2 linked regions of the Arabidopsis thaliana genome follow. The protein of the gene in region 2 interacts with the protein of the main gene of each other region in a pairwise test. Each region holds a gene or a part of one and is shown on either strand. Other genes may lie near its edges. The genes, in order: LTO1 and FKBP13.

Region 1 (5,142 bases), on a different chromosome or scaffold from region 2:
GTTTTTCTATCATTTTATAAATTTAACACTTAAACTTAAAGAATAATAATTTAAAACCAATTTAAAACTTAAATTTTAAGAAAGTAATTAATAATTTTTAACTAAAATAATGTTAATTTCACTATTATCATTTAAAAATTAGTTTAAGTATTAAAATTTTAAAACGGCGAAAACTAAACGTGTGTAGGCATGCATCCCCGTCCTTAATTGGTCCGTAAACTTTGTGGTGTTCGAAGTTCGGTAAAGCTTTCACCCAATATAGATTTGACAGTTAAACTATGTTTTAGAGAATAATAATGATGATTGATACTTGCGTTGAGAACATCTACAGAATTTATTGATAATTACAGGAGGTGATATGGCTATGATTGTTTTCACTCTTCTACCGGCAGCTCATTCTCTGTCCAAGCGACGTATCCTCCAGCAATGTCTGTGATCGCCGTGAAGCCCTGTACATGTGGCGACATTAAACCCGCTTGTCCTAAACCGGATAACGGCTATATAAATTGAAGTGATATTACACACATACAGCAGTGAGAAGATCAGTTGAGGCCATAAATGACATTTGACCGCTCTCACAACCCTGCAGAAGTAGTTTATTACGTGCATCAGAGATTTTGTGAAACAAGGGATTGTCTTCATAGGGGTTTATTTAGTCTCTGAATGTCAAAACTGAAACTTACGATTATGATTTCATCGTGTTTCCTGAAGTGGGACGAGACCTGTCTTAGAAAACTCGGGTTCTTAACCATTCCTGCAACGGTTTTGGCTTGGTGTTAGTTTTAAGTTGTTTTTCATTTTCACTCTTTCTCATAAGAGGAACCTTAAGGTCGGTGATGAAAACCTGATCCGACTCTGTACATGTAAGGTACGTTGATGGCTCTAGTCGGATGTCCGATGCTGAATTCGTCTGGTGTCCTCACGTCGAGATAGCGGTATCCTGCTTGAGCTAGCTCACGCGCCACTCTTACTGGTACTGACGTAGGAATTTTAACTGCCTCTGCTGCAACATTTCCTCTGCTTGTTGTCGTTGCTTTCCTCCTTGAGCAAGAAGTTAATACTCAGATTTAATATTTATTCATAATCTAAAATCAGATAGAGAAGGCGATTCTCGTCGTTGATTGCTAGCTTACCATCGGAAGTTTGAGTTTCGAAGATCAGCTACAATAACACCTCTTCGTGTTGGTAATTGGCACTTGAAAGATCCACATGTTTGTAGAGGTGGAGAAATAGCCGATGACCAGTTTCCAATTCGTGATGTTGTGTTAAAAGCAGTGGTTTCCATTTTCACTTCTTCTTTGAAACTTCTTTTAGAATGCTTTGATGCTACTTAGATACTTCTTCTCTTAGTTCTATAGCGTTTATATAATACATACAGACACAAAGGTATGGGTGTCACGTCAGCAAGTTTTATGTCCGATCTTCGAGTCTCTATCATTTCTATGGATAAATTCAATTATGTACCAAAGTCGATTCCAAAATGTAAACAATGCGTAGATAATGAATCATGATAAGTCCAACTCGGTGCCTCGTGAGTCGTGTTGAAGAGGATAACTTGCTGACTCGGACGGATAAGAAGACCGTAAGGCCCAATTGTGATAAACTAATTATGGATCCAAATTATCGTATTTGGGCCTCGTTTAGGCCCAATATTGAAACAAGTGGCTGAGATAGTGGAGCGGAGGAGAGAAGATGATGAAGTTAACAATGGTGGAATAGCGATTCTTCGACGACGATGATGGCGAGGTTTGTTTCTGTGTCGTCTTGTCAGTTTCATTTCGGCTTCCGTGAGGTTTCTCCTCCGTCGGTAACTTCTTATCCTAGACGATTCGAGGTAAATTCTTGTCATGTGTTTTCTTCAGTGACAGTAGTGTGTGATCGGTCATTTGAAGTCAGATGTTCTGAATTAGGTCTCTGATCGGAGATTTCCTGCGATTCCGATTAAATGTTCTTCATCTGAGCCGGAAAACGGTGAGGATTCGGCACCGTCGCTGTCTTCCTCCTCCTCATCGTCTACAAGTGAAGTATCTACTAGTAACAGTTCGACATACAACTGGTACACCGGAATCGGCGGTATTGGGATGTTAGACACTGCGTATTTGACTTACCTCAAGGTCACTGGCTCCGATGCGTTTTGCCCTATTGGTGGTGGCACTTGCGGTGATGTCCTCAACAGCGATTATGCCGTCGTTTTCGGTATTATCCATCGCTTTATTGATTATAGCGTTTGATTTATGTAGCTAATTGTCCTCTCTTTTATAGTAGGCATGATTAAATACTCGCATGTGATAGTCTCTGTGAATCTTTGCTTGAAGCTATATCATTTAGGAGCTTTGGTACTTAGTATGCATAGAATTGTTAGAGTTAAATAGCATGCTTCACTCCACTCTATGTAGTGCTTTGTCTTCGTTGTTTGTCCAACATTGCATTGCAGGTAAGTTGAACTCAATGAAAATCCTTTTTTACATTTTGCCAGGTGTTCCTCTTCCAGTGATTGGATTTGTTATGTATGGCGTAGTAACCGCTCTAAGTGCAGAGCTTGGGGAAGGGAATCTACCTTTTGGAATCAGTAAGAGCAATGGGCGTTTCGCGTTATTTGGGATCACGACTGCAATGGCATCTGCTAGTGCATATTTCCTGTATATCCTTAGCACAAAACTCTCAGGATCATCATGCCTGTATTGTCTGGTGTCTGCTTTCTTATCATTTAGTCTATTTTTCCTCTCTGTAAAGGTATCCCTTTATTTCCATTTCTTTTTTTTTCCTGATGTTGACTCAAGATAACTTCTAAACTTCGGATTATGATAATGTGCTCCATGCATGTGGTAGGATGTGAAGTTGCAAGAAATACAGCAAGTTGTAGGATTGCAGATATGCTTAGCAATCATAGTAGTTGCCTCCTTGACTGCTTCTTACAGTACTGCTCAACCAATCCCTTCACGGTAATCAAAGTTCATAGTTTTCTTTGGGGAGTCCCGATAGAAATTTTAGTCATTTGTAACGAGTAGTGAACAAATAGCTTCCGAAAGATGTATGAGTCTTATCAGGTGGTCTCTTTTAATCCCGATCGTTTTTTGTTTCACTCCTTCCAGCTCTGGTGACATTGAACTGCCATATTTTAGAACAGAGATCAGTTCATCATCGAGCCCTTATGCTATTGCTTTAGCAAAACATCTAAACTCCATTGGAGCTAAAATGTATGGGGCATTCTGGTGTTCTCACTGCTTAGAGCAAAAAGAGGTAGTTAGTTCATTCATCACCTGTTTGCCAAGAATCAGTTTTATGCTTTTATTATATGTTCATTATAGTTCCATCCATCTACAGATGTTTGGAAGAGAAGCGGCAAAAGAACTGAACTACGTGGAATGTTTTCCGGATGGATATAAGAAAGGAACTAAGATACTCAAGGCATGTGCAGATGCTGCGATCGAAGGATTCCCAACATGGATAATAAATGATAAGGTGAGTAAATCCTCTGAACCCCTTGTACATTTCATCACATGTCAGTACCTATTTCACCTCTTTTATAAATTAGGTCTTAAGCGGAGAAATAGAACTCGCTGAACTAGCGGAGATGACTGGATTCAGCCTTGATCAGGCAAATGAGACCAATCAACTTCAGTAAATTTTGTATTGGTGCAGAAAATATTAAGGTGAATCCGTAAATGTTGTTTACTTGATCCTCCTGATAGCTATAGGGTGTTCTATACAAATTCAAGTAATGAAAGTGCTTATTGTTGCCATAGGAGGTTACAACTTCATCTGTATCACTTAGCCTACACCAGAGCATCACTATTTTATAATTGAAAGATTCATAGGTTCTTCCAAAGAATGTTAGGGTACTATTAATTCGAGAATCTACAGCCATCTAGTACTGGCTTTATGTAAGTATAATGTCTAAAAGTATGGTCTATATAAGAGAGTCACACATGTATTTTGTATATATATGCGTGTAGAGTAGTAGCAGATATATGATGTATGGGAAACTTAGAGAATTACGTTTACAATATTTGGTGCCCTATTGAATACCTTCCTTGAATGTGCCTCCTCGGTATTTTTCTATTGTAATGATCCATCCACAAGTTTCGCTGTTATTATCCGTTTAATATGCAGAAGATAATGTTTTTCCTTATATTTTTTAAAAGATTCCATTGGGCATTGGATAGATATGAACATAGAGATCTTTATAATCTTTAATAATTTGTAAGCTCAGATTAGTTTAACTCAACATCGGATGGGATGATCCAAAATAACGCCCATCTTATCCAATAATCTACATGAATCATGTGATGAGACGTAACGCTTAAGGCGGGGGGCGGGAAAAGAGTCAAAAAAGGCAGTAGCCGTTAGATGTAGCAAAAACGGATGGACCAGATTAGTTGCTTAACAACGAAAGATCAAGAGAGGGCGAAAAAGGTAATAATTATTGGAATGTAGGACCCACAAAGAGGTGAGGAAGATCATGATAAAAAGGAAGATGCTATAGAATATTCGTAAGAGCCCGTCGTTTCTCCCATTACCCTCCAATTAATACACTATTTTTTTTATTTTTTTGTCTTTCCCTTTTTAAAATGATCATCATCTTCTTCTTCACTCGCCTCAATTTTTGTTCCCTTCTTCTTCTATAATTCAACTGTGAATTTCACCGACGAAACAAAAAAGAGAGAGAGAGAGAGAGAAACGATGAGTTCTCAGATTTCGGAGATTGAACAAGAGCAGCTGATCGAGAAGCTTGAGATCTTCAAGATCCATGGCAGAGACAAACGTGGCCGTAAGATCCTTCGTATTATCGGAAAATTCTTCCCAGGTACTGATATATCAATCGGATCTGTTTCTTTTTCTCTCTGTGTAGATTTGTTCTTATATTTGAGTTTTTTTTGTTTCTGAAATCAGCTCGATTTCTGTCACTGGATGTGTTGAAGAAGTATCTAGAGGAGAAGATATTTCCTCGATTAGGTAGAAAACCATTCGCCGTACTCTACGTCCACACCGGCGTACAGAGAAGCGAGAACTTCCCAGGTATCTCAGCTCTACGAGCGATCTACGACGCAATTCCGGTAAACGTCAGAGACAATCTTCAGGAGGTTTACTTCCTCCATCCAGGTCTTCAATCACGTCTCTTCCTCGCCACCTGCGGCCGAT
Region 2 (4,002 bases):
TTGGATTATTTTCCCAAAAAAAATTGGCTTACAAAAATTAGAACAGATGAAAGGAGAAAAACTCCAAATATTATTATAAAAACAAAATCGCCATAAATTCATATAACTACAAGCTCGCTGAACCTTAACAAGAAGAAATAAAAACCTAAAATCATAGGAAAACCTTTAAGTTAATTATTCTTTTCTGATCTTTAGGATTCGAAAAAAGCAAAAACAACATAGATCACAGTTGGATCATGTTGAGGGTTCGAGTGGAAGATACTATTACTAAGCCATCCATCGGAGAGAACAATCATTTACCTTGTGAATAGTGATCGGTAAGATTAAAAGCCATCATAAAAACTTTGGCAAAAAAGAGAGAATAAATCTGTTACAAATTATAAATAATGTAACCCGACCGACATCGGAGTTTTGGAAGCCACCCCCACAAATTTACCGGTACACTAATCTGAAACATGTAATATTCTTCAATATTTTTGCCCCCAAGAAAGTTTATGTCTAGATCTTTGATCTCCCAATGGTCTCTATTTTATGCAACTTGCTCTGTTTAACGCTCCTTTTCTTGTGTTTCTACCGCATCTACTTGCTTCTTACGTTAGCTTATCAACGTTCTACTTCTAGTGTCTGAGAAATCGGGAACTACACTATACGACGTTTGGATAGATATGTCAGAGATCTTTTGACGAATTTTTTTTGTCTGAAAATCATTTCTCTGGATTTGAGTTTGGGTTTCCGGTTTTACTTGGTTTATTGAATTTTCATATTTTAGTAATAGATAAAAGGTAGAAAACCAAACAAAAGATAGAAAAAGCTGAGATATTCACTTGATTACATAGTAGAAAAAATAATAGACATATTTTTTTCTTCTATAAGGATGATTCAAACAAGAGTATGATATGGCTCAGAAAAGGCAAAGCAAAAGCAAAAAAGCTCTCTCAAGCTTTACCTATGTACTCAATGTCAAAGAGAAGAACCGAAGCTGGAGGAATAAGGCATGAGCCTGCGCGAAAACAAGTTTAGGCTTAGTTAATTAATTAGCTTATTATCAACAATATAACATAAGATTTTGTGATCAAAATATATTTTTACCTCCTTTGCAACCTGCGCCTCGATCACCATACGCGAGTTCTGGAGGAATCCTCAATGTTCGTTTCCCACCTGAAGAAAGAAACCAAATCAAAACTGCAGATTAGACCAACAGAGTTATATGATGTAAACATGACAATATTTCTGTTGAAATCAAATTATTTTAAACACTATGTAGACTTAAACTATATACCTCTAACATAAATATCTAAATATTATGGTAGAAAGTTATAGAGATTAGGATACAAACTGATGAACACTATCTAGTTACATACAAAAGATTCTTTCAGTGTTTCTAAGGTCTTATGGTCTAAGCATAGTGATGACCACTATCTAGTTTAGTTACATGCAACTAAAGTTTCATGTTTCCTCTGTATATGCTATGTTAAATTTTTTAAAAATTGAGCATATATACCAGTAAGCATAGGAGGAATTCCATCAGAGCCAAGGATTCCTTGATCCCAACCTTTTATCACCTGTATAGTATGTTTTCTCACATAATGTTAAAAGTTTAAACAAATGGGAGGCTTTGGCAAAAGTAATGTTTATCCTTGATTACCTCACCAACACCAATTCGGAAAGTAAGAGGTTTCCCTCGATTATAGCTACTATCAAAGACTTTCCCATTCTCCAACTTCCCTACATAATGTGCCTGCAATAAACATTCAAGAATCATCAAACATTCATAAAGAAATTGCAAAAAGTCATTGTAATTTGAGATATTATTGATATACTTAAAAATCACCTTGATTAGTTGCCCTTTAACAGCTTCAGGACCATAACCAACAACTTTATCACAAAAAGCAAGACCAGAAGGAGACACAGAGAATTCACAAGAAGTTGTTTCGGCTAATGCAGAAACATTATCAAGCAAGCCAATAGAGAAACCAAAACCAATAATTGCTTCTCTTCTACCACATGAGGATAATTGGGCAAAACTTAACTCAGGATCAGAAGAAACTTTTTGCTTGTTTCTCAAGTTAATAGCCTCTGCTTTGTTTAAGCTATTATTCACAAGAAATCTGCATTTTCTTTTCTCACTTGGAGGAGAACAAGTTCCAACTGAAAACCCCAAGGAGCTCATTATCTTCTCTATCCAGATAAAGAATAATCTCAAAGAAGATAATAAAAAAGCTTTGTGTTGGACAATCAGCAATCCTTGCTGGCAAACAAAGCAACCACACAAAATTGGGCTTCATCTTTTATCATATTTTCAAGATTAAAGCCTTACAGGCCCAATATGAATAGCTTTGATGATTAGTAATGTGTTGTAGAATTTTTAGCTTTTATCATCTAAAGTCTAAACCCTCTTAGATGATTCAAAAAGAGAGTAGTAATTCATGAACTTTTCTCTAAAGCCTAAATAATGCCTCAACTTTCAAGGCATTTTCAATTAGATCGATTTTTAACATTACCATATGCTACTATCATTTAAAAATCATGGTACACTATTTTCTTCTACCTTTTCATTTTTAAGTATTTAGTCAGTTAAATTAAAATTGCAATAAATTTAAAAACCAACCAACCAACCATGAACCACCCAACGACATTTCTGAATATGTTTGGTTTGAACTTCCTTCTTTGGTTCCACTTTCTTTTGTTTTGGAGCAAAGACGAACTAACACATTTGTAATGAAAGAATCAAATTTATAAAACTGTTAAGAGAAAAAGAGATAAACAGTAACTCCAAATCATTACATAAACAGTTATGACATCACACAACACAAACCAAATCACTTCTTCTTGAGTCCAAAACTCAGCTGCCATTGAAGAACTATCAAAATACTTAGACAACCAAAAGATCTTTCTCTCTTTAGAGAGATGCTAGCTGCTGAATATCATAAGGATGAGCATCAGAAGCAGCTTCTCGCTTAAAAGATCGTCTTCCAATAACAATATTCGCAGCTTCACCGGGATGAAACGCATCCCAAAACACATACTCATTCCTATTTAGACATGGTGCTTGACCTGGAAGACAAGTTATCTGTCCATTGTTCCTCCCAACTCCACAACATCCTGCATTTGTCACTCTAAACCCTGCAAAATTTTCAACGAAACTTTGAGCAAATCATCATAAGAAAAAACGTTTACTTCAATCACAATTTGATGATTGATCTATTACCGTAGCGAGCAGGGTTTGTAATAATGTCTTGGAAGATGCCATAAGCGTTGATGTAAGTGAATTTTGCATCTGGTGTGTTCTGGTTAAAAGCGTCGACTATAGATATGAGTTTGCTGTTAAAGATTCTGTTCGCTGAGTTGATTCTTTCGTCACACGTTCTTCCGTCTCTGCTGTTTTGAGCTAGCTCGTTCGGGCTGCAACCGATTGCCCCGACTCCTATCAACGCAAACTTCCTCGCTCCATTGGTATACAGTACCTGCTCCATCACAAAAAAAAACAGACATTAAAACCTTAATCTCTCACTCAGAGGATCAAGTAACATAAAGAACCAGAGTAGAAACTATAAAACAGAGAGGCAAAACCAGAGGAAAACTAAGAAACAGAGGATATAGAAGTGTGTATACGAACCCTGAGTTGTTCGGTGTAACGGGCAACGAGATCGTCGGCATAGGATTCGGGGGAGAACTGGTTACCGGTAGAGTAAAAAGTAGGCATGAAGTAGTTGTTAAGATAATCGTTACTGCCTAATCCGATAGAGTAAATGCATTTGCTGAGGTAATTCGAGGCTTCGTTTTGATCACCAAGTATGTTCACTACTTGTGACACAGTGTTCACGTGATTTGCTACTTGCCCTGCAAATGCTATTCGACCTCCCTGAGGAACAATAACAAGAACAAGTCAAGTTTTAAGAAGCTCTAGAACAAGATAAGCCAAATTCAAATATATCAAACCAGACCAAAACCAAAACATAAACCGAATAGTAATAGTTTTTTTGTCAAAGAGAAATAGTAGTA

The links.
Region 1: the proteins of FKBP13 (region 2) and LTO1 interact in a two-hybrid assay, tested with the Arabidopsis thaliana proteins (one study listed by BioGRID).

What each region holds. Positions count from the first base shown.
Region 1 is NC_003075.7:16,941,216-16,946,357, reverse strand, and holds LTO1 (NAD(P)H dehydrogenase (quinone)s), read left to right. Parts: upstream 1-1,680; 5' UTR 1,681-1,735; coding exon 1,736-1,834; intron 1,835-1,910; coding exon 1,911-2,196; intron 2,197-2,476; coding exon 2,477-2,733; intron 2,734-2,829; coding exon 2,830-2,942; intron 2,943-3,092; coding exon 3,093-3,240; intron 3,241-3,324; coding exon 3,325-3,564; coding exon of another isoform or gene 3,565-3,625; 3' UTR 3,626-4,327; downstream 4,328-5,142. Other genes in the region: SEN1 (Rhodanese/Cell cycle control phosphatase superfamily protein), read right to left, coding at 375-449, 530-583, 684-754, 845-1,041, 1,134-1,285; AT4G35750 (SEC14 cytosolic factor family protein / phosphoglyceride transfer family protein), read left to right, coding at 4,684-4,807, 4,894-5,142. UniProt on the Arabidopsis thaliana protein: Thiol-disulfide oxidoreductase catalyzing disulfide bond formation of chloroplast proteins and involved in redox regulation and photosynthetic electron transport.
Region 2 is NC_003076.8:18,529,062-18,533,063, reverse strand, and holds FKBP13 (FK506-binding protein 13), read right to left. Parts: upstream 2,231-4,002; 5' UTR 2,171-2,230; coding exon 1,832-2,170; intron 1,739-1,831; coding exon 1,646-1,738; intron 1,563-1,645; coding exon 1,502-1,562; intron 1,159-1,501; coding exon 1,090-1,158; intron 1,001-1,089; coding exon 936-1,000; 3' UTR 727-935; downstream 1-726. Other genes in the region: AT5G45670 (GDSL-like Lipase/Acylhydrolase superfamily protein), read right to left, coding at 2,900-3,123, 3,209-3,464, 3,617-3,862. UniProt on the Arabidopsis thaliana protein: PPIases accelerate the folding of proteins. It catalyzes the cis-trans isomerization of proline imidic peptide bonds in oligopeptides. Responsive of the major PPIase activity in the chloroplast thylakoid lumen.